Linked DNA regions of Canis lupus familiaris. The protein of the gene in region 2 purifies or fractionates together with the protein of the main gene of each other region. This does not show direct contact. Links are inferred from orthologs where the notes say so. Each region holds a gene or a part of one and is shown on either strand. Other genes may lie near its edges.

What was found.
Region 1: the proteins of TRIM47 (region 2) and SATB1 purify together in Homo sapiens (affinity purification with mass spectrometry; 4 studies listed by BioGRID and IntAct, with this or other methods). This does not show direct contact. The link is inferred for Canis lupus familiaris from reciprocal best matches to the Homo sapiens genes TRIM47 and SATB1.
Region 3: the proteins of TRIM47 (region 2) and PPM1A purify together in Homo sapiens (affinity purification with western blotting; 3 studies listed by BioGRID, with this or other methods). This does not show direct contact. The link is inferred for Canis lupus familiaris from reciprocal best matches to the Homo sapiens genes TRIM47 and PPM1A.
Region 4: the proteins of TRIM47 (region 2) and FBP1 purify together in Homo sapiens (affinity purification with western blotting; 3 studies listed by BioGRID). This does not show direct contact. The link is inferred for Canis lupus familiaris from reciprocal best matches to the Homo sapiens genes TRIM47 and FBP1.

What each region holds. Positions count from the first base shown.
Region 1 is NC_049244.1:25,106,015-25,111,073, forward strand, and holds the start of SATB1 (DNA-binding protein SATB1), read left to right. Parts: upstream 1-1,805; 5' UTR 1,806-1,964; intron 1,965-2,245; exon of another isoform or gene 2,246-3,373; intron 3,374-5,059. UniProt on the Homo sapiens protein: Crucial silencing factor contributing to the initiation of X inactivation mediated by Xist RNA that occurs during embryogenesis and in lymphoma.
Region 2 is NC_049230.1:5,605,155-5,610,137, forward strand, and holds the start of TRIM47 (E3 ubiquitin-protein ligase TRIM47), read left to right. Parts: upstream 1-1,684; 5' UTR 1,685-1,697; coding exon 1,698-2,390; intron 2,391-3,469; coding exon 3,470-3,565; intron 3,566-3,835; coding exon 3,836-4,066; intron 4,067-4,238; coding exon 4,239-4,437; intron 4,438-4,874; coding exon 4,875-4,949; intron 4,950-4,983. UniProt on the Homo sapiens protein: E3 ubiquitin-protein ligase that mediates the ubiquitination and proteasomal degradation of CYLD.
Region 3 is NC_049229.1:35,616,446-35,621,392, forward strand, and holds the start of PPM1A (protein phosphatase 1A), read left to right. Parts: upstream 1-1,796; 5' UTR 1,797-1,867; coding exon 1,868-2,066; intron 2,067-2,512; exon of another isoform or gene 2,513-3,825; intron 3,826-4,947. UniProt on the Homo sapiens protein: Enzyme with a broad specificity. Negatively regulates TGF-beta signaling through dephosphorylating SMAD2 and SMAD3, resulting in their dissociation from SMAD4, nuclear export of the SMADs and termination of the TGF-beta-mediated signaling.
Region 4 is NC_049222.1:72,702,729-72,707,180, forward strand, and holds part of FBP1 (fructose-1,6-bisphosphatase 1), read left to right. Parts: intron 1-2,465; coding exon 2,466-2,606; intron 2,607-4,452. UniProt on the Homo sapiens protein: Catalyzes the hydrolysis of fructose 1,6-bisphosphate to fructose 6-phosphate in the presence of divalent cations, acting as a rate-limiting enzyme in gluconeogenesis. Plays a role in regulating glucose sensing and insulin secretion of pancreatic beta-cells.

The DNA.
Region 1 (5,059 bases), on a different chromosome or scaffold from region 2:
GTGAAAGGAACTCAAGAAAGTGCAGCTTCTAAAAATACACCGAGGAGGCTCTACAGTCCTTATTGTTACAAACTGACGTTTTGCAGTTCAAGCTATGAACCTAACAACTACACACACACCGAAGGGGGGAAAAAAAAAGTAGACTATGTTTCCTTTCTGTAATCCCCTTAACTTCGAGTAAACAGTAGTAATTTTCTGTTGTCATACTCAATGCAAATTTCCCAAAGACGACAGAACACAAAACAAAAGACCTGTTTGCTTCCTAGGAGCTGGGTGGGGGTGGTGGGGGGTGGGGGTGGGGGTGGGGGTGGGGGTGGGGGGGGTGGAGGATGGCTGGATGAGAGGGGCAAAGTTGATGGAGTTCTCCTTTTCTCCTCAGCCTGGGGTCCTGAACCTCCAAGTCACTCTGCCGTTGTAGAGGTTTTTGAAGTTTCATTCACCTTCTGGAAAGGCTCCCTTGCCCCTCTTCTCCGCGAGCCCCCCTGTCACTACAGTCTCATCACTTGCCTCCTCCTTTGCTTCCAGCTTCTTGGAGAAACTGGACCTCAGTTTAGGGGTCTTTTCCCTGCGGATTTTAAAGAAGCGGCCGACAGAAGGCTACTGCTTAAACAACCGGGCAGGGGCGCGGGGTTGGGGTCTGCAAGAGCAACCCCGCCTTCTCCTTCCACCACGTGCTCCTCAGTTGGGGTGCAGCACTCCTGGATGGGGTGCAGAGAGGGGCGGGGCCAGGGTGGAGGGCGATGGACCGTGCAGACTGAGAGGGGAGGAGGCCCCCGAAGGAGAGATCGTCTCCACCGAACATGAACGAGAGAAAAAAAAAAAAACTGGCCCACATGCCCCTAGTGGGGAGCGATACACCCCACGCGGGCTGGGTTTGGGGGTGGGGGGTGCGTAGGGCCCGCTCACCTGACTTCCTCCTCCCCTGGCACACACACTGCAATCGCCCGCTTCTCCCCCCCCCCCCCAAAAAAAAGCTCAGCCAAACAACGAACAACAAGAGGAAGCCGCAGGCGGCAAGAGGAGGGGTGCGCGTGGTGGGGGCCCGGGAGAGGTGAGGGGGCAGGGTCGGCGGGCGTCGAGAACCGCGCCGCGCACCCCTCCGCGCACTCCCGGGCGCCCACACTTACCCCCAGCGGCTGAGGGTCCGGTCTTCGGCGCCAATCCCGGCGCGCGCCTCTCGCCCGCCCTCGTCCCTCCGGCCCGCCGCCCCCCACACCCCGGCCGGCGCGCGGGGAGGGAGCCTGGGAGCCGAGCGCGGCGTTGGCGGCGGCGGCGGCGGCGGCGGCGGCGGCGGCGGCTCGGGCTCGGGCTCGGCTCGGCTCGGGCTCCAGCGCTCCGTGCAGCCGGCGGCCGCCGAGGCTCCTCCGCCGCCAGGGGGAGAAGCCGGGGCGGGCGCTGGGGAGGCGGGCCGGGCCCTCGCCGCCCCGCCGGCCAGCCCGCTCGCACCAGCTCGGGAGCGGCGGCGGCGCGGGGTCCGCCGAGCCCCGGGGCGCGGCGCGCGGGGCCGGAGCAGCCGCGGCTGGATGCGCGCCCCGGGGGGCTGCGGGCTCCCGCGGGGGGCGCCCCGGCCGCTCCGGTGCGCCTCCAGACTGCGGGCGCGGCGGCCGCCGAGCCGAGAGCAGCTCCCGCCGGCCCCTTCCCCCCCCCCCCCCCCCCCCCCCCCCCCCCCCCCCCCCCCCCGTTAACATCCCCTCCCTCCCCCTTCCTTCCCTCGGCCCCGCGCGCTCGCCAGCTCGCTCCTCGTCTCGCTCTCCCCTTTAAACGCCCACTTCGGATGGGGAAAGAAGACAACTTGAAGTCAAGTTGCAATTAACTTCCGCGGCAGCCGCAGCTCCGGCGGCGGCGGCACAGGAGGCAGAAGCCGCCGCCTCGGAAGTCCGACGCCGGCGCGCCCGCCCGGGGAGCTGCTCCGGGTCGCGGGCCCGCACTCGACAGCCACCGCCGCCCCCAGCGCCCATGCCTGAGTGAGTGCTGCTCCTTTGCCTCCCTTTCCACCCCCCCCCCCCCCGCGCCCCGTATTCTTGCTCTCGAATCTCTGTCTCTCTGTTTTCGGAATCGATCCAAACTTCTCGGTGGCGCCCACCCCCGGCGCCCCTTGCCGGGCTGCGCGGTGCCCTCCCGCCGACGTCTGGCGGCCGGGGTCCCCCGAGCCCCTTCCCTTCTCGCGTGCGCGGCCGGACCCCGGAGGGGCGGGCGGGGAGAGCGTGGGAGAGCACCCGGGACGGGGGGCTCGGAGATGCCATTCATTCCCTCTCAGGGTGTGGGCACCCTGACACACCTGCCCGACAGACCCAGGCTGGACAAACTCCCTCAGGTCCTCCGTATGACCGCTCTTCGGAGAGAAAAGGGGGAGCCGCAAAGAGCGAAGGAGGCCGACGGGAAAAGGGAGAGGAAGCCTCTCCGTGCGCCCCGGAGCTGGGTTGGCAGAGAGGTGCCCGGCAGAGTAGGCTGGGGGAGCGGGGACGGTCCCCGCCGATCGCAAGTGAGCTCAGCATCCTTCCCCGGTCCTTCTCCTTCCTCCTCCGCCCCCCGCCCGCGCGGCTGCCTGGGAGCGGCGGCCGAGAGGGGCCTAGGAAGTTGGTGGCAACTTCTCCATCCCGGGGACGCTCGGCGCCGGGCGCTCAAGTTGGAGCCGGGATTTTGAAAGCCGCGGCACTCCGCCTTGGAGTCCCCGCCGGAGGTAGTGAGGTGGGCCCGCAGGGGCTCCCGGAGCGACTGCAGGTTTGAAGGAGGGCTGGAAGGCAGGAAGAGGCGCTGCCCTCTGAGCGGGGCTGACACATCGCAGGTGCGGCCTCAGGGTCCGCACCGTGTCTCCCTCCTGCGGTCCCGACCCGAGCGTGGCGGCCTTCTCCGGGCGCTTCCCTGCGGAGGCTCCCGGGGCGGCGGCGCGTGGGTTTGGGCAACCACCGTAAGGGGGACGAAGCAGGCAGGTGGCAGGTGGCAGGTGCGGGGAGCCACACGCGCCCACCGGGGACATGCACCGGGCGTGACTCTTGGGATGACCCCCCAGAAGGAGGAGAGGATCTCAGGGCTTTTGCTGGAGATCTTGGCCCCGACCTCCTCTGGGGCGTTGCAAGTCTCACGTACTAGTGTCAACCACAGGATCGCCTCGTAAAAGTGCCCTGGTTGGCAGCTTTGACCTCTGCGCCCTTCCTCGGCGAACTTTCTCCGCGGCATTCCAGATTTCCAGGCAATTGTTGTAAGACTTGGACTCTACGTGGTTGTATCAGAGACAGGGAAAATTAAAAAAAAAAAAAAAAAAAAAGACGTCCTATTCTCAGGAGAGAACCGTTCTACCCGGACTGGCTGGGGTTCCCTGCTTGCATCCTTGGAGGCCAGGAGACCTGACTTTTCCAAGAGGAACAGAGGAGGGGTAAGAAACAAGTGAAAGGCGACTGGTAGGTGTCAGGTTTTGTCCTCAGCAGTCCCTAAAATCGACTTACTAAGGGAGTAACGCGTGCGATTGAAACTTTATTGAAATTTACACCCTATCTAAAGTGGATTTTTCTGAGGTGTCAGGAATGTAAGATTTATTCTATAGTAAAACGTAGCTGCAAAAGCAAACAACAACAACAACAACAACCGTACTTTAAGGCTGGAAAAAGCCAAGGTTTGAGGTGTTTGCTCTAAAAACCTTTAATCGGCTGTGGGGTACTAATGCTATGATTTAGCAGCAGTCCTTTATTTCTATTGCATATTATTTTAGTGGAACAGTAGTACATTCATATACTGGCTGCTCCAGTCTGCTGGCAAACATTAGCATTCAAGCTTACATTTTTGACAAATGTGCAGACAGGAATAGCATGAATAGGCATCTTAAATATTAACAACCTAAGCATCTGTTGTGAAACAAATTTAATATATTTACTCTGTTTTTCTCACATTGTTAGAAAAGGTTATAATAAGTGCATAATTTCAACTTTAGTTAGCAGAAGTAACTGGCTGTATCTTTCACTACCTCTCCAAGTGTTTAACACAGTCACCAGACATAAGTACTTTAATTAACTTGGTTAGGCACATTGTTAAATACACTTTAGACCTAGTGTATACTATGTAAAACGTAACAGTAGCAAAATACGTATCCTATTTGTGCACATTTTAAGTGACTCTGCATTTTATAAATGTAACAGGCATGTTTATTTTTCATCTCCATTTGACACTTATTACTTCATAGTTTTTCTAATGGAAACAATATTTTAAATGTAGAGCTGTTCAGTCATATGTAATACATAATATGTAAACAGTAGCCATAAAATACAAAGCATTGTTAAATTTAAGTATGGCTACATGTAACAAGATTATACAAGAGAAACAATCACTGTTCAATTTTGTATTCCTTTCTGAATAATGAGTACAAATGATGGGTGAAATAAGAACAGATAAGGATTTCCCTCCTAAAGTACTAACTAGTGCCTTAAAAATCTGTGTGGGGGTGGGGGTGGGGAGAGCAAGAGGGAGAGAAAGGGAAAAAAAGGGATAGAGAAAGAAGACCTAAAGAACTTTCAAAAGTCTGAATAGTTATTTCCAGAATCAATGCATTCCTCATTTTCCCACAAGCTGAAATATGTAATAAATAATAGTTCTTTGTATGTAAAAGTATTCACAAGGAATGCCTTTTGTTTAGTTGTTGTAATAAATTAATATATTCTTTGGTTGATAATCTACAAAAGTAGTTCTTTTGTCTCCCAGCATCTTAAACAAGAACAACAACAAAACGAGTGAGTATTGGTTTATTTCTGCAGAGAAGTCTGTTGCCAGCTATAGGAACCTGTGACTGAATGAGCTATGGTATGCTGAGTGATGGTTAAGAAAGGCTACATTAAATTAGCAAAGACTGAAATATCTGAAGGAGATTTTCAATTATTTTTTCATGTGACAGGTTGTGGATTGCAAATTAGGCCTAAAAGGTCAGGTGACAGGCACCTGTTCCTCATTATTGTAAAAATCTTTTGGTTACAAACACTATTAAGCTAAACACAACATGGATATACAGCAGGGACTCTATAAAGCACTCTAGTGGTTTTTCATCTGCTCTGTAAATTTCCAAGAGGGCCATACA
Region 2 (4,983 bases):
TAACTCAGAGTTCCCAGGTACCTCCCTCCTAACTTCTTCTTTTGTTAACATCTTACATAATTATGGTGCATTTGTCACAATTAAGAGCCAGTATTGATACATTACATTAACTACAGTCCATAATTTATTCAAATCTCCCTACTAGTTTTTCCTTAATGTCTTTTCTGTCTCAGAAATGCATCCAGAACACATATAACATTACTCATCATATCTACTGAGGCTCTTCATGGCTGGGACAGTTTCTCAGACTTGACCCCCTACTATTTGTGTGGGGGGGGGGGCATTTTTTTGAAGGTTTTGAGGAGTATTGGCCAGGTATTTTGTAGACTGTCCCTCCACTGGGATTTGTGTGATGTTTTAATCATGATTAGACTGGGCTATGGGTTTTGGAGAGGAAGACCATCCTATACAGGGTGCTTAGTGTCAACATGACTTATCACTATTGACAGTGACCTTGATCACCTGGCTGAGGTCCTGCTTGCCAGGCTTCACCACTATAAAGTGATTCTTTTTTTTTCTTTAAGATTTTATTTATTTATTCATGAGAGACACAGAGAGAGAGGCAGAGGGAGAAGCAGGCTCCCCGCCCAGAGCCCAATGTGGGACTCAATCCTGGCACACAACACTCAACTGCTGAGCCACCCAGGCATCCCTATAAAGTGATTCTTTAGCTCCCTTTGGAAGAAAGTCACTGTGCACAGCCCACGTTTAAGAAGTAGGAAACTAGGCCATCTTGGAGTATGTATAACAGTTATTTTGAATTCTTCTGAATGGGAGATTCGCCTGTGCTCCTCTGTTTATTTACCCATTCATTTATTTACATCAGTATGCACTCACGGGTGTTTATTTTATACTTTGGGTTATAAGCCAATACTACTTTATTTTGTTGCCATTTTTTTTTAAAACAACATTATTAAGTGCATGGCTGGACAAGCCTTAAATGCCTCCGCTGGGGGAGCCCATACCTCAAGCCCCAGGCACAAGTGCCTGCGCCCCAGGGTCCTGGAGGGAAACTGAATTATCTCAGACAAGGGACTGGGAGGGTGACGTCGACTTCCCGTTTCAAGTTTAGAAAAGCCCGAGTTCCCCACAGGGGTAAATAGAGTCGCTAAGGGGCAAAAACAAGCGCACATCAGCGGTTCATTTTCAACAGCTCAGGAACTTTGCTAACAAGGGCGGCGGGGGGCAGCCCCGGTGGCTCAGCGGTTTAGCGCCGCCTTCAGCCCGGGGTGTGATCCTGGAGACCCGGGACCTGGAGACCTGGAGACCTGCTTCTCCCTCTGCTTGTGTCTCTGACTCTTTCTCTCTCTCTGTGTCTCTATGAATAAATAAATAAAATATTAAAAAAAAAAAAAAACAAGGGCGGCGGGGAGGTCTGGAGCCCGGGGCGGCCTTGAGGGGAGATGAGGGGTGCCGGAGGGGTGCACTCCCCCCCACCCCGGCTCCCTCCCAGTGTGCCGCCCTCCCCTTGGACCGGGAGGCACGGTCGTCCAGGGGCCCCTGGGGGTCACACGGGGCCGGGGCCGCGCGCGCAGCCTGGGCTGGGGCCGGTGTCCCGGGCCCCGGGGGCGGGCCGAGCGGGGGACGGAAGGGGGCTGGACCCTTGGCCCGGGTCCCGGGGGCGGGGCCGCAGCGCGCGGGCCGGGGCCCTCCCTGGGCGGGAGCAGAGCAGGCGGCGCCCGGGCGGCCGCGGAGCTATGGACGGCAGCGGGCCCTTCGGCTGCCCCATCTGCCTGGAGCCGCTCCGGGAGCCGGTGACGCTGCCCTGCGGCCACAACTTCTGCCTGGCCTGCCTGGGCGCGCTCTGGCCGCACCGCGGCGCGGGTGGCACCGGCGGGCCCGGAGGCGCGGCCCGCTGCCCGCTGTGCCAGGAGCCCTTCCCCGACGGCCTGCAGCTCCGCAAGAACCACACGCTGTCCGAGCTGCTGCAGCTCCGCCAGGGCTCGGGCTCCGCGCCCGGGCCCGGCCCGGCCCCGGCCCCGGCCCCGGCCCCGGCCCCGGCCCCGGAGCCCACGCCGCCCAGCGCGCCGCCCAGCGCCCCGGAGCCCTCGGCTCCCTGCGCGCCCGAGCCCTGGCCCGGCGGCGAAGAGCCGGTGCGCTGCGACGCGTGCCCCGAGGGCGCCGCCCTGCCCGCCGCGCTGTCCTGCCTCTCCTGCCTCGCCTCCTTCTGCCCCGCGCACCTGGGCCCGCACGACCGCAGCCCCGCGCTGCGCGGACACCGCCTGGTGCCGCCGCTGCGCCGGCTGGAGGAGAGCCTGTGCCCGCGCCACCTGCGGCCGCTCGAGCGCTACTGCCGCGCCGAGCGCGTGTGCCTGTGCGAGGCCTGCGCCGCCCAGGAGCACCGGGGCCACGAACTCGTGCCGCTGGAGCAGGAGCGCGCGCTCCAGGAGGTGGGCGCAGGCAGCCGGGGCGGGGTGGGGGGTGCCAGGGCGGGCGAGGGCCGAGCGGGGGTGGGGGGAGCCATGGATCCAGCCCCCTGCCCTTCCCTGGTAGGGCCCTAATGCTCGCTAACCTGGCCCTTTGGCGTCCTTTCCAATACTGACAATGTCACCCATCCATCCACTCGCTGTGGGACGTTCCGCTCGAGTTGGGAATGGGGGTTGGAGGAGCCCAGAGGGAACGCAAGAAGGACTGGAAGGGCAAGCAGGGGCCTGAAGCCCGGTCCAGCGACAGGGAGCAGTCAGGACCGCGGGGGTCCGGGCCCGCGGGGGTCCCCGCCTGCTGATTCTGGCCTCGCCGCTGCCTTGAGCTGGGCAGGCTTCTTGGCGGTCCCAGGTCGCATTTGGCCTGGGCTGAGGCATCGGGTTTAGATGGGTGTGGCAGGCGACAGGAGTGTGGCAGAGGGTGGACCTAGCATACAGACCGCTCTTGTCCAGCTGTTCCGGGGCCGTGGAGGGAGCATGTGCTCTCAGGCCGTCAACCACCTCCACCCCCAGTTTCCTTTGGCCTCCAGCCCGGTCTTGGCGCCTCTGGCCTTGGGATTTTCCGTCTCTCCTGCCTGGAGCAGTGACTCATAAGACCCAGGGGATTTGCCCGGAATCCCCATTTTTCAGGCCTGGAATGGGGATACAGACTCTTGGGGGACAGTGATCCCCGAGACAGCTGAATGCCCTCTGTGCAGCACCTACCCCACTCTCTCTGCCTCGTCCTCACTGAAGGAAGTTCTCCAGCGAGTTCAGCAACATTGAGGAGCAGGGATGGCCCTGTGCTTGCCCATTGGTCAGAGAGGCGAGGCACAGAGCCCACAAACCTGCCCAGCCTGTGCTCTCCCCAGACATTTGGGAATGGCACCCTCCTGGGCTCCAAGCACCTCTGGCATATTATGGGATGTCATGGCCACTCCCAGTCCCACCTGTGCACACATACCACTCCCGGGTCATCCCTCTTCTCCCCCTTGGTGAAGCCTGGTAGCCCAGAGTAGGGCTGTGGCCACTGCAGGCCCCATGCTGATTAAGAGTATCACCCACAGGCGGACCAATCCAAAGTCCTGAGTGCCGTGGAGGATCGCATGGATGAGCTGGGCGCTGGCATTGCACTGTCCCGGCGCACGGTGGCCCTCATCAAGGTCGGACCCCACGCTGACCCCGTCCCCGTGCAGTCCTGCAACAGGCTCCTGGCAATGAGCTTGTAGCATGCTATGGTCCTCTCCAAAGAGGCCTGTGCGCAGGGCACTGTCTGGTCCTGCTGAGCATGAGCGGCTCCTCTGACCTGGCACATAGATCCAGGACAGCCAGGGCTGGTCCCTCTGTCCCCGCAAGAGGGCAGGGTGGGAAGGATGGGGCCAGAATCACACTGCTCTTGCCCTCATCCTTGTCCCTTGTGTCGTCCCGAGCAGAGCGCAGCCTTGGCAGAGCGGGAGAAGGTGAGCCGACTGTTCACCGAGGCTGCGGCCATCCTGCAGGGCTTCCAGACAGAGGTGCTGGGCTTCATCGAGGAGGGGGAGGCCACCATGCTGGGCCGCTCCCAGGGTGACCTGCGGCGCCAGGAGGAACAGCGCAGTAGGCTGAGCCGGGCCCGCCACAACCTCAGTCAGGTCCCCGAGGCCGACTCGGTCAGCTTCCTGCAGGTAAGTACAGCTCTCCTGGGCCAGAGAGGGCACGGGAGGGGGTCAGGCAAGGAGTGGGGAGGGCTTGCGGGGCTGCCTGGGCTCCGGGGCTGTGCCATCGTCCCACAGGGCTCTCCCCGCAGCCCAAGGAGCTGGAACCAGCAACGCCTCACTAGTCATTTCTCTGGCACAGGAGCTCCTGGCATTGAGGCTGGCCCTGGAGGAGGGGTGCGGCCCTGGGCCCGGCCCCCCGAGGGAGCTCAGCTTCACAAAATCCTCCCAAGCCGTGCGGGCGGTTAGAGATGTGCTGGCAGCGGCCTGTGCCAGCCAGTGGGAGCAGCTGCGGGGGTTGGGCGGTGATGAAGACGAGTTGCAGAAGTTGGGCACAGAAGGTGGGTGCCCCCCAAGTGACTCACCCTTCCCCAGTCTCCCCACACAGGGCCCCAGGCCTGGCACCCGTTCAGGAGTGGAAGATGGAAACTGTGTGCCTGGCACAGGGTGGGCCCCAACTCCTACTGGCGAGCGAGGCCACCGATCCGGCCCCTGCGGCCACAGCCCGAAGGATCGGGGGGTCAAGGGAGCCCCTCCTGCCCTGCCCTTGAGTTTCAGAGGGGCTGAGCGGGGAGGGGGTGGAGCAGGGGCAGAACCCAAGGACCAGGCTTGCATGTGAGGACGGAGTCCCATATTTGGGTGTGTGCCTGTGCCCGGGTATTGGCCCGGAGGATGCAGAAGGAGAGGGATTTTGGTCACAGGCTCAGGGGAGAAGCACCTTGCATCCCTGCCCAGCCACAGGCAGCTGGAGAGAACCTCTCCCCTGTCTCTTCTGCAGCAGATGCCGAGTCCCAAGACCCTGATAGCACCAACAACGTGGAGAGTGAGGCTCCCAGGGATTACTTCCTCAAGTGTAAGTGGACGCCTGGGCTCTCCCCTCTGCCCGC
Region 3 (4,947 bases), on a different chromosome or scaffold from region 2:
CCTCAAGAGCATAGATAATAGTAAGATACATTAAAAAAATTTGGAAGTGATGAGTTTTTAAATATACTTTAGCTTTGTTTACATTTTCTTTAATTGGATGTTTTATATAATTTAATTTTTAATAATGATTCTGTTTAACAAACAACTGGAAAAATTCCTGAAAATTTAACAGTCTCCTCTTATGAGGTAGTATAAGCCAGTTCCACATGTCACTGTTGACCCTAAGTCCTTGCATATGCCACCGAGTCTCCTTACTGCCTTTATCACTGCGTGTAAAAGCTAGGACCATCTGTAGCACACAGGGAAAAACCTGGCTACCAAGTATTACTTTTGGTGCCCCTGTATGGCTGCTACCCACTCAGTTTTCTCTTCTGTAAAGGATTAGAACAGTTCTTACCTTGCCTACCCATAAAGGATGCTGTGAGGATTAAACTAGTTGGGCCTAAGTGACAGTGCTTCGAAAACTGCAGAGGCAGATACAGAAAAAAAGCCTTTAATATGATGATCATTTCAGCACTGGTTTTCAACCAGGCCACCATCATTAAGGATGCAAAATGTGTTGCAGCTTTCAAAGATATGGTTTCATTTTGACATTTTCTCTAATGCCCATGGTAGACAGTAAACACCCAGAAAAATTGTTCTTAAGAAATCCAAATTTTTGCTAGTCTTCATCCACTAAGAGTAGCTATCTATGTTGGGAGAAAAATGATTCTTTTTACTTATTTCTAGCTGCTGTTGGATTGTCTGAGGGGATATCTCTCTGGGGTTGTAAAATGCATCTTATTTTCAATAATTGAATCAAGGTCCTTTGATTTTTAATTTCGATTTTTCAAGCTCCTTTGCTTTTTGGGCCAATTCATGAAGTTATTTGGCATGGATCATGCCCTTCTGTTCAAGATGGTTTCCTAATCTTAAATTGGATTAAGTATCCCAAATATCACAGGATGAAAATTTAAACTTGACTGACTTTATCAGACATATACATTGAGCTTACTGAACTTCTTGGTCTGTAGACAACCTTTCTGCCAAAGCCTATCTCACATCAGGCCCTTAGCCTATGCTGATCCCTCTGCCAAGAAAGCTCTTCCGTGATTCTTTGCAAAGTTGACTCCTCCTCACCCTTGAATTCAAATGCTATCTTCTTACAAAGGTCTTCTCTGAACATCCATTTTAAGTCATGTCCCCAATCTATTGCCTTCATAGCACTGATCCCAATTTTAATTTCCTTATTTGTTGCTTCTTTGTCTTTACCCTGATTGTAATATCAGATCCTTTTGCCCCTTCATGTCCTTATCTACTACTAGTCTGGCATATAATAACTATCTGTAGAAAAAATGAATTTGTCCAAAAGGATCTGCACCAATGTTGTGGGGCTCTGGCCATTTATAGTTCTCTCTCTCTCTCTTTTTAAGATTATATTTATTTATTCATAAGAGACACACAGAGAGAGAGAGAGAGAGAGAGAGGCGATCATGACCTGAGCCAATGGCAGATTGAGCCACCTAGATGCCCCCATATACAGTTCTCTTGTAGGTGAGAGCCTACTGTAAAGACTCCCTAGGATTTGGCCTGTGGTGTTCATGGTCACCCACATTTCTCCTTAAAAGGCCCAGGAGGGGAGAAGTCACAGAGGTAACATGAGACTGCTGGCTCCCATCTGCTTCACCCTAATGGAGCTGCCTCAGTGATGTCACATAGGACTGGATTCTCTAATCCTTTTCATTCTGTGACAGTGCTTTCAAGACTTAAGGTTTTCATGGCCCTATATGGTGGGGGGAGGGGGAGGGGGGAGGATGGAGAAAAGAGGGCTAGGGTGGGGGGCATACCCCCCACTCATAAAATTAGTTTAGGGGCACTATCCACTAATATGTACTGCTTCAGGAGAAAGTGGGTAGCAGAGGTTATAATTTGGACTAAGCTAAGAAAAAGTGAGAAGAGAAGAATGGGGAAAAAAAGGGCAAAGGGGATTAAGAAAGAACAGAAGAAAGGGAGAAAAGTGATAAGGAGAAAAGAGAGAAGAGGAGGACATACGAAGAGGATATTTGTGAGAAAGACACGTGCAACAGGTAGTGAAGGTGGAGGAGGAAGGAAGAGTTGAAATTCTGTTCTGCTTGGCTTGGTGACTCTTGAGTAGTGACTGACTTTAGTGTGAAAGGATGGATGGCTCAAGTGAAGAGAATTCTCACATACTCCCCTCAGGGGGTCACTTACATATTCAATCTTTAATTTTGAGGGGCCCAAGCCAGGCTGTCTCATAAGTTATTCTCCTGGATGGATTCAGAATAGTAATCTGGGAACAAGGAATGTAACCTTCACTTTTTTTTTCTTTAACATTTTATTTATTCATCACACACACACACACACACACAGAGGCAGAGATATAGGCAGAGGGAGAAGCAGGCTCCCTGCAGGGAGCCTGATGCAATACTCATCCCAGGACCCAGAATCACTGGCTTAAGCCAAAGGCAGACACTCAACCACTGAGCCACCCAGGTGCCCCTGCCCTTTTAAAAGATTTTATTTTATTTATTTATTCATGAGAGACACAGAGAGAGGCAGAAAGTAACCTTCACTTTAAGTTGTGACTGTGGAAGAACAGAGGAGAGAGTATTGCTAACCAGAGCTTCTGATTCCTCACCTCAGCCCCCATCCTCACCCCATGCCTTTCGATTACTGGGCTAATGGCACACAGTTAAATTCAGAATTTGAAAGCCAATCTTTCAGAAAATCCTCCTCTTTGGTAACTGAAATGTAAACAGATTTGCAGAGCAGGGTAGAATAGTTTTACAATACACCTGTAAGAATTATTAAAATACAATTATGGGAATATATTCTCACTGAGGTTTCACAGAAACTAAGAACACCCTAAATACCTGTAGGAGGCCCACGCAAAACCTTGTAGTTCAAACAAAAAGAAAACTTTTAACCCTATTGTTTCCAATGTCCTTTCCTCCCTTCTAAATAGTGGGGTTTTGCCCATAGCATAGTATTTCAGGAACATAATGTTCAATATAATATAATAATAAGGAAGGGGGTATTATAATATCAAACATATTTATTCAGACAATATTAAGATATCTTTGTTCCAAACTTTTCCATGGTTATCTTATAACCCATGAGATTCCTAGTTCATACCAAAATGTCCCTGCAAGCTGTATCCAGAAATAAGAAATAGTAGGAAGGTACAGCTTTATCAGCAATCTGTGGTACACTCTGTAGCCTCCTTAAAAATCTCTTTATGCTCATGTTTTCTATTTTTCTACCTCTTCTGCTATAATTGACCCAGATTCTCCTACATGTGTAGAACAGAGAGAAGAAAGATGTGGAAGCCTAAAGGAAGGAAGCAGAAAGATAGGCAAGGCCTTTAACGTTCTCTATGGTCCACTACTGTCATTGGCTACCCAGGCTCTGCTTTATGAACAAGAAAATTTGTTTTCCAGGGGCACTTCAAATAATGGTTGCCACATGGGCTTTTCAATTTCAGAATTGTAATGAGTCCACTAGCATGCTAATCATGCTGTTACTTGTCTGAAGTATTAAGGATTTCAATACGGCACAGTTTCAAAGATCTTTGATCTAATTTCCCCCTTTTTGGCAAGTGTACGGAAAAGTAATTAGGAAATGTGTCCTCAGATGATACCGGGACCAAGTGCATAAGTGAATTTTATTTTCACATTGTATACCTGGAAAAGATCCATCTCTGTCTTCCTCTAAGAAATCGTAATGCCATAAACATTGGGTAGAGTGATTTTCGGGTTCCTTGAAGAATTGGCCTGCCAGTGACTCTTTGGTGAAACCGTTTTCGCTTGTTGTTAGGTTTCAGGCCTAAATGTGAAAGGAAAAGAATCATCCAAAAAAAGTCATGTAGAAAAAATTGGAGATGGCTTTCACAGCTTCAAAAACAGCTAAGTGTTCCCTGAGTGACAGAGTAAATAGATTTTGATATAAGAGTTGGGGCAACAAAGTGCTTTTAGGATATACAAAGTAACAGGGTATATATTGCTACAGGGAGTTCTTAAGATAAAACGGAGAGGCCTCCCACAAATTTACCTTCTTATTGGCCAGAACACAATTTGACTAATATTTTCAGGTGTTCTTTTTTTAAAGTATTTGCCTCCTGCACTTAACTATTTGGTTTTTTATTTTTCTTTGTCTATACAAGAGCATCTTTTTAAAACACGGCTTTTTCTTTTAAACTTCTCTTCCAGCAAACGTGGTATGGGTCCAACCCATGAACAGGTTAAGCTTCTGACAAGAGAGGGAAAAGACACCCCAGCCAATGGGAGCTCGTGCTGGTGATGTACTGCTCCCAGTTCTGATTCATTGGCCGCCTAGGGTTTGTCATTCTATCCCCGCGTCTGCAAACAGCGTGGGTCGGTTTTCTGTAGTCCAGCTAGCTAAACTGGATTTTGGCCGCCTGCATATGCAGCTGCAGTTAGGTTCAGTTGCTAACTTCTAATGGAAGCAGCTGATAACGTTTCTGATTATCCTCAAGAAAAATCTTGCGTTCCTTAAACCTTGCTGGAGGTCGTTGGAGGTCCCCTGTGACAGAATCACGTGACTGTCTAACATGTGCAAATAAATACGATGTGGAGCCTGATGAGCTGCAGATGGAAAACCTGCCAGAAACTCAGAGCATATGCCCCGTGCGTGTTATCAGTGGCGCCCGCGCATGGGTGGGTGCCGGGAGGGTGTTGCTGCCCTTGGGGACCAGAGGTGTGCGGCGGGGGCACCTGCGAGGGGCAGTCCGGGGTCACCCGCGACGGCGGCTCCGGAGGGGAGGGGCCCTGGGGGAGGGGGTTTGGCGGCGGCCTGGGCTCCGCAGCGCGTTCAAGCCGCAGCAGCTCGGCGGCAAGTAGGCCGCGACTGCGCCCGAGGCAGGGGGAAGGACGGGGTCTGCGCTCCGGGCTCTGGGAGCCGCGTCCTTGCGGGGAGTGGGGTGTGTAT
Region 4 (4,452 bases), on a different chromosome or scaffold from region 2:
AACACTATGGCCTGAGCCTGCAATGATTTGGTTGGCCAGGCTGAGGTCACCTGCCCACCCCAGAGCTGTGGGCGGTATCTACAGGAGATTAACGTGCAGTTATCAGCGGAAGGGTGGTGGATGCTGGCCAGGCAAAACCAACCCATGTTCACTGCCGATTATAAACTCCTTGAGGGCAGGGACCTTGTCTTACATATTTTTTTGTAGGCTAGTTGCCTAGTGTGACAGTAAGTGAACGATACTGGCTGAGTTATGGGGGACTCTCTGAATGCTCCATGAGCCCTTCCAAGCAGACCATCTGGTGGGGACAGCTTGTTCCCACGTCTGTCTGATTTTCTCATCTACCACTCCAAGTCTCCAGAATCCATGGTGTCTTCCTCTATACCCCTTATGAGGTGGTAGGGAATAGAGCAAACCAATACCTACAGTAGGTTGTGGCCTGGAATAGGTAGAGACAGGCAGGGTCTAGGGGCTTTCTGGTTTTGCCAAGGGCTTTATGTGCATTGGTCAGTACATGAGCACCTGTATGAGAATGTGACGGATCCCCTTGAGCAAAGGCCTTTCCTGCTGGGGTTTGAAGGAAGGAATTCATGCATTGGAAAGATCAGGCTAGGAAAGAATTCCTCCTAGTCCACGATTCCACAGCATTATTTTCTCTTTGAATGTGTGGGTCATAGACAATGTTCCCATTTCTTATTCTATGAAGTCAGAGAATACAATTACTAGGTGACAACATTTTGGGAAAGGTCATTTACTCTTGCACCTTTGGCACAGGCAGGCATGGATGATTCTTGGTGAGGTAGATCTCTGAGGGATTTTTCTTAGTGGAGAAGTTATTATTCCAATCTTTTATTGGCTCCCAGTTAACTCATCTGTCTTCATACAGCTGATCTGATTTCTCATTGCACTGGCAGGGTTAAGTAGTTATGATAGAGGATAGTTGGAAACCTCACTGGCTTTGAAGGAAGTTGGTTCTTTTTTTAAGGTTGGGTATTGGCAAAATTTGGAATTTGGGAAAACAACTCAAATTTTTGATAGTATGTTTATTCTGTGTTTAGATGCAATGCACTATTCTATGAACACAAACCAGACTAAATCAAATAACTTGACCTAACCCAACCAACCAACCAACCAACTAACCACCTATGTGAAAACCATTTATTAAACACAAGGCATGGGGATGAGGGGGAGAAGGGGAGAAATGCCTTTATGATTCTTCCTTTTACATAAAGTTTGGTGCAAGAGTCACATGTGGTGCACAATAAAATGCAGATTCTCAGGAACACCCTCCCCTTAGAAAGTCTGGCTTAGTAAGCCTAGGCTGCAGCCCCAGAATATGCTTGTCTAATAAGCCTCCCAGGTGATTCTGATGCAGAATCATCATCACTTTGAACCACACTTTCAAAAGTTACAGGGAAAAATTACCAGGAATGTTTTTGCTGGGATGGCCTCCATCTCCAGCATTGTGATACAGATGCCCATACTTATTTTTAGCTATTGGAATCTCTGGGTGAGGAAGGAATAAATGAAATTGGCAGAAATTGCCCATTTTCATTTCTGTTTAAATTCAAGTAGAGACTATTCTAGCTGAAAGATTTGAGGTTGTTTTGAGGACCAAATAAGCCAATCAAGTGTTAATAAAGAAGATCATCATCTTCTTATCAGTTATCAACCATTGATTAGAAGCCATCTCCTTAAGGCATCCCCTTCCTTAATATCAAACTATGGTCAGAGGACCTACTGGGCCATGTTTTTAATGAAACAAAATAGGAAAGATTAGAGTGCATATTATATTCTAAGTGTTAAGTATTACTTTGTTGAATTTGTGTAGTTATGTGTGCATGTGCATGTGTGTGGGTACTGGTGTGTGGTGTAAACGTATTTTTTTTTGCTGTGAGTGTGGTCAAAAAAATGGAAAGCAACTGCCCCACCCTGTATTGACTCTGGAGAGATATTCGAAGTTTCATTTCTGAGAATTGCTTGGATGCCTGAGTGACCACTGAGGCGGGTGCCTCAACTGGCAGGAACTCATAAAATTGATTTCCTTACCAGACTAGCAGTCCTGCAGCCCAGTCTTAATATGTCTAAATAAGGATGGAGTAGGGCAGGTGGAAGACATTGATGCCTGTAATAAGATTAAATTAGTGGGAGCTGGCAAGAAGGCACACTCTTTTTTGAAAGTGATAATGGAGAAATGAGGGAATATCAAATTAGTAAAATTGGAGGAGGGCCCTGATTGGAAAGAAGGATCCAGATGCAGGAAATCTGTGGTATGAAGGGAAGGCTTCATGGTAATGTAATCAGGGTATTACTGATATGTGGAGAAAGGCCCCTCTGGGAAGATGCCCTGTTGCATTAGGAGAGTACCTTGACAATGCATCTTGCTGATGACTGAACTGGAAAAAAAGAAACCCCAGAGAAACCCAAACAAAAGCATGTTGTTTTGTTTTCTTTCTTTGTCCCAGAATTCAACTGATGAGCCTTCTGAGAAGGATGCTTTGCAGCCAGGCAGGAACCTGGTAGCTGCTGGCTATGCCCTGTACGGCAGTGCCACCATGTTGGTCCTGGCTATGGTGAATGGCGTCAACTGCTTCATGCTGGACCCGGTGAGAGACCTTGTGGGAGGTTATGTGCTTGGCTGGTGACTGTTTGCAGGGGTCTGTTGTTTGTGCGAGAAGAGGTATGCAGAGGTGGGAAATGAGGCCCACAGAGGGCCAGAGATGATGGGATGGGCAAGGGTGTGAGGAAGATGGAAGAACCATGTGTATGTCATGAGAAGATTACTGAGGTGAGAAATAATATGTGTCTGGACCATAAAAGGGAGTCATTGTTCCAAGATTAATTCTTTAGAACAGACATTATTCAAATGACTCACTGCCCACTGAGTTTAGGTGGGCCGAATAAATGAGGGAAGTGTGCTGGGGAAAGAAAGCCAGGGGCAATGGTGGGATGGGGGTAAGTCGGAGAGGTCTAGCAGTTGTTACTATTTGGGAATAGGGGCCCAGTTTTGCCAAAGCTTCTAATGTCTCAAGAAACTGGATTAAAAAAAATGCAATATTTCTAGATTTGTAAAACATAGGTGCTAGCCAACTAAAACACATTGATGGACCAGATGGGGCCCTGTGGATGGTCTCTTTGCCACCCACTACATCCATGACAAGCTTGTTTTGCAGACGTGAACAGCTGTCCCAACTGATGCTGTGGATTGTATTGTTTCTTCAGACATAGCTACCAGATCCATTTGATGTATGTGCAGGTGAATGCTCCGTGAACACTTGCAGTTTTGAGAAGGCCTTGATAAACTCAAGGAAAAGAAAATAAAGAATGAAATGTGGATAAGTCCTCATTCTGTTATAAGGAAAAGCTACTTAGTGGAGAGGAGCCCAAGATGCTGTGAAATATATTCATTAACAGCTTGAATTTGTGGATAATTTCTTCCCCATGTCCATTAATTGGAGTTACTTATTCAGGTAGATGACAGTTTCAATAGAGCAGATGAACCGGGGAAAGAAATCTCTTTCACTATTTGGTCCAACCTACAGTAGAATATAGAATTCAGTAGGTGGGCACATGCGTCAGGCATCTGACCCAGTGCCCCAAAGGGAAAAGAATTGGGTTTATCAATACCTTCTAGTTTTAGACATGTCCTCCTATGCCAGTAATGAAACTTTATTTATTTGGTGCTTTTTGTTGATGCACCAAACCCAGGGTAAAAAAAAAAAAAAGAGCTGGCTGGAATCTGCTGGGAGACAGGTGGCTCCTGGTGAGGTCCTGGGCTTTGTGGGCGTGGCAGTTCATATAAACGAGAAGGTAGGCTGCCTTGGCCCTCTGCACTCTTGTACTATTGGACTTTGCCTCCTTGGAGGAACTGGTGCTTAATAAATAAACAAGGGCAGAAGAAACGGCACTAGATGCAGCCTCCCAATGAGGCGACCTCAGGGGAAAATAGTGGCAGAACCAGAGCAAAGTTCGCCCTGAGCTTAGTGTGCAGTTTCTGGAACCACTGAAGTTTGCAAATGTACTGCTCTGCCAGAGATTTACTGCTTCCCCAGACAGTCTTCCAGTGACTTCTCTGTTACCTTTGAGTTGGTGGACGTGTAGAAAAAATAAAATCTCTTCTTGTTTCCAGGTCTTAGACCCATGTCCCCAGGAGTTAGTTTCTGTGTATTTGATAGGCTTTCACCTCCCTGAGCTAATGGCCCGCCAGTGTTCAGAACAGTGCAGGCCTGCTGTGATACTCTCCTGCTGGGGACACCATCTCATTAACCTACAGCTCACCCCTGCCTGCGGGCTGAACCTTGGACCCCCTCAGCGCTTTCTTTTCATTTTGGCTGATGATTTCTGCTAAAAAGACTGAGACAGCTCTATGTGCATCTCCAGCTGGCTTTACCTTTCAGAAGGCTTTCAGTTTCTTGTCTATACTTGGAGGAGACTCCTCCTTCATGTCTGGGA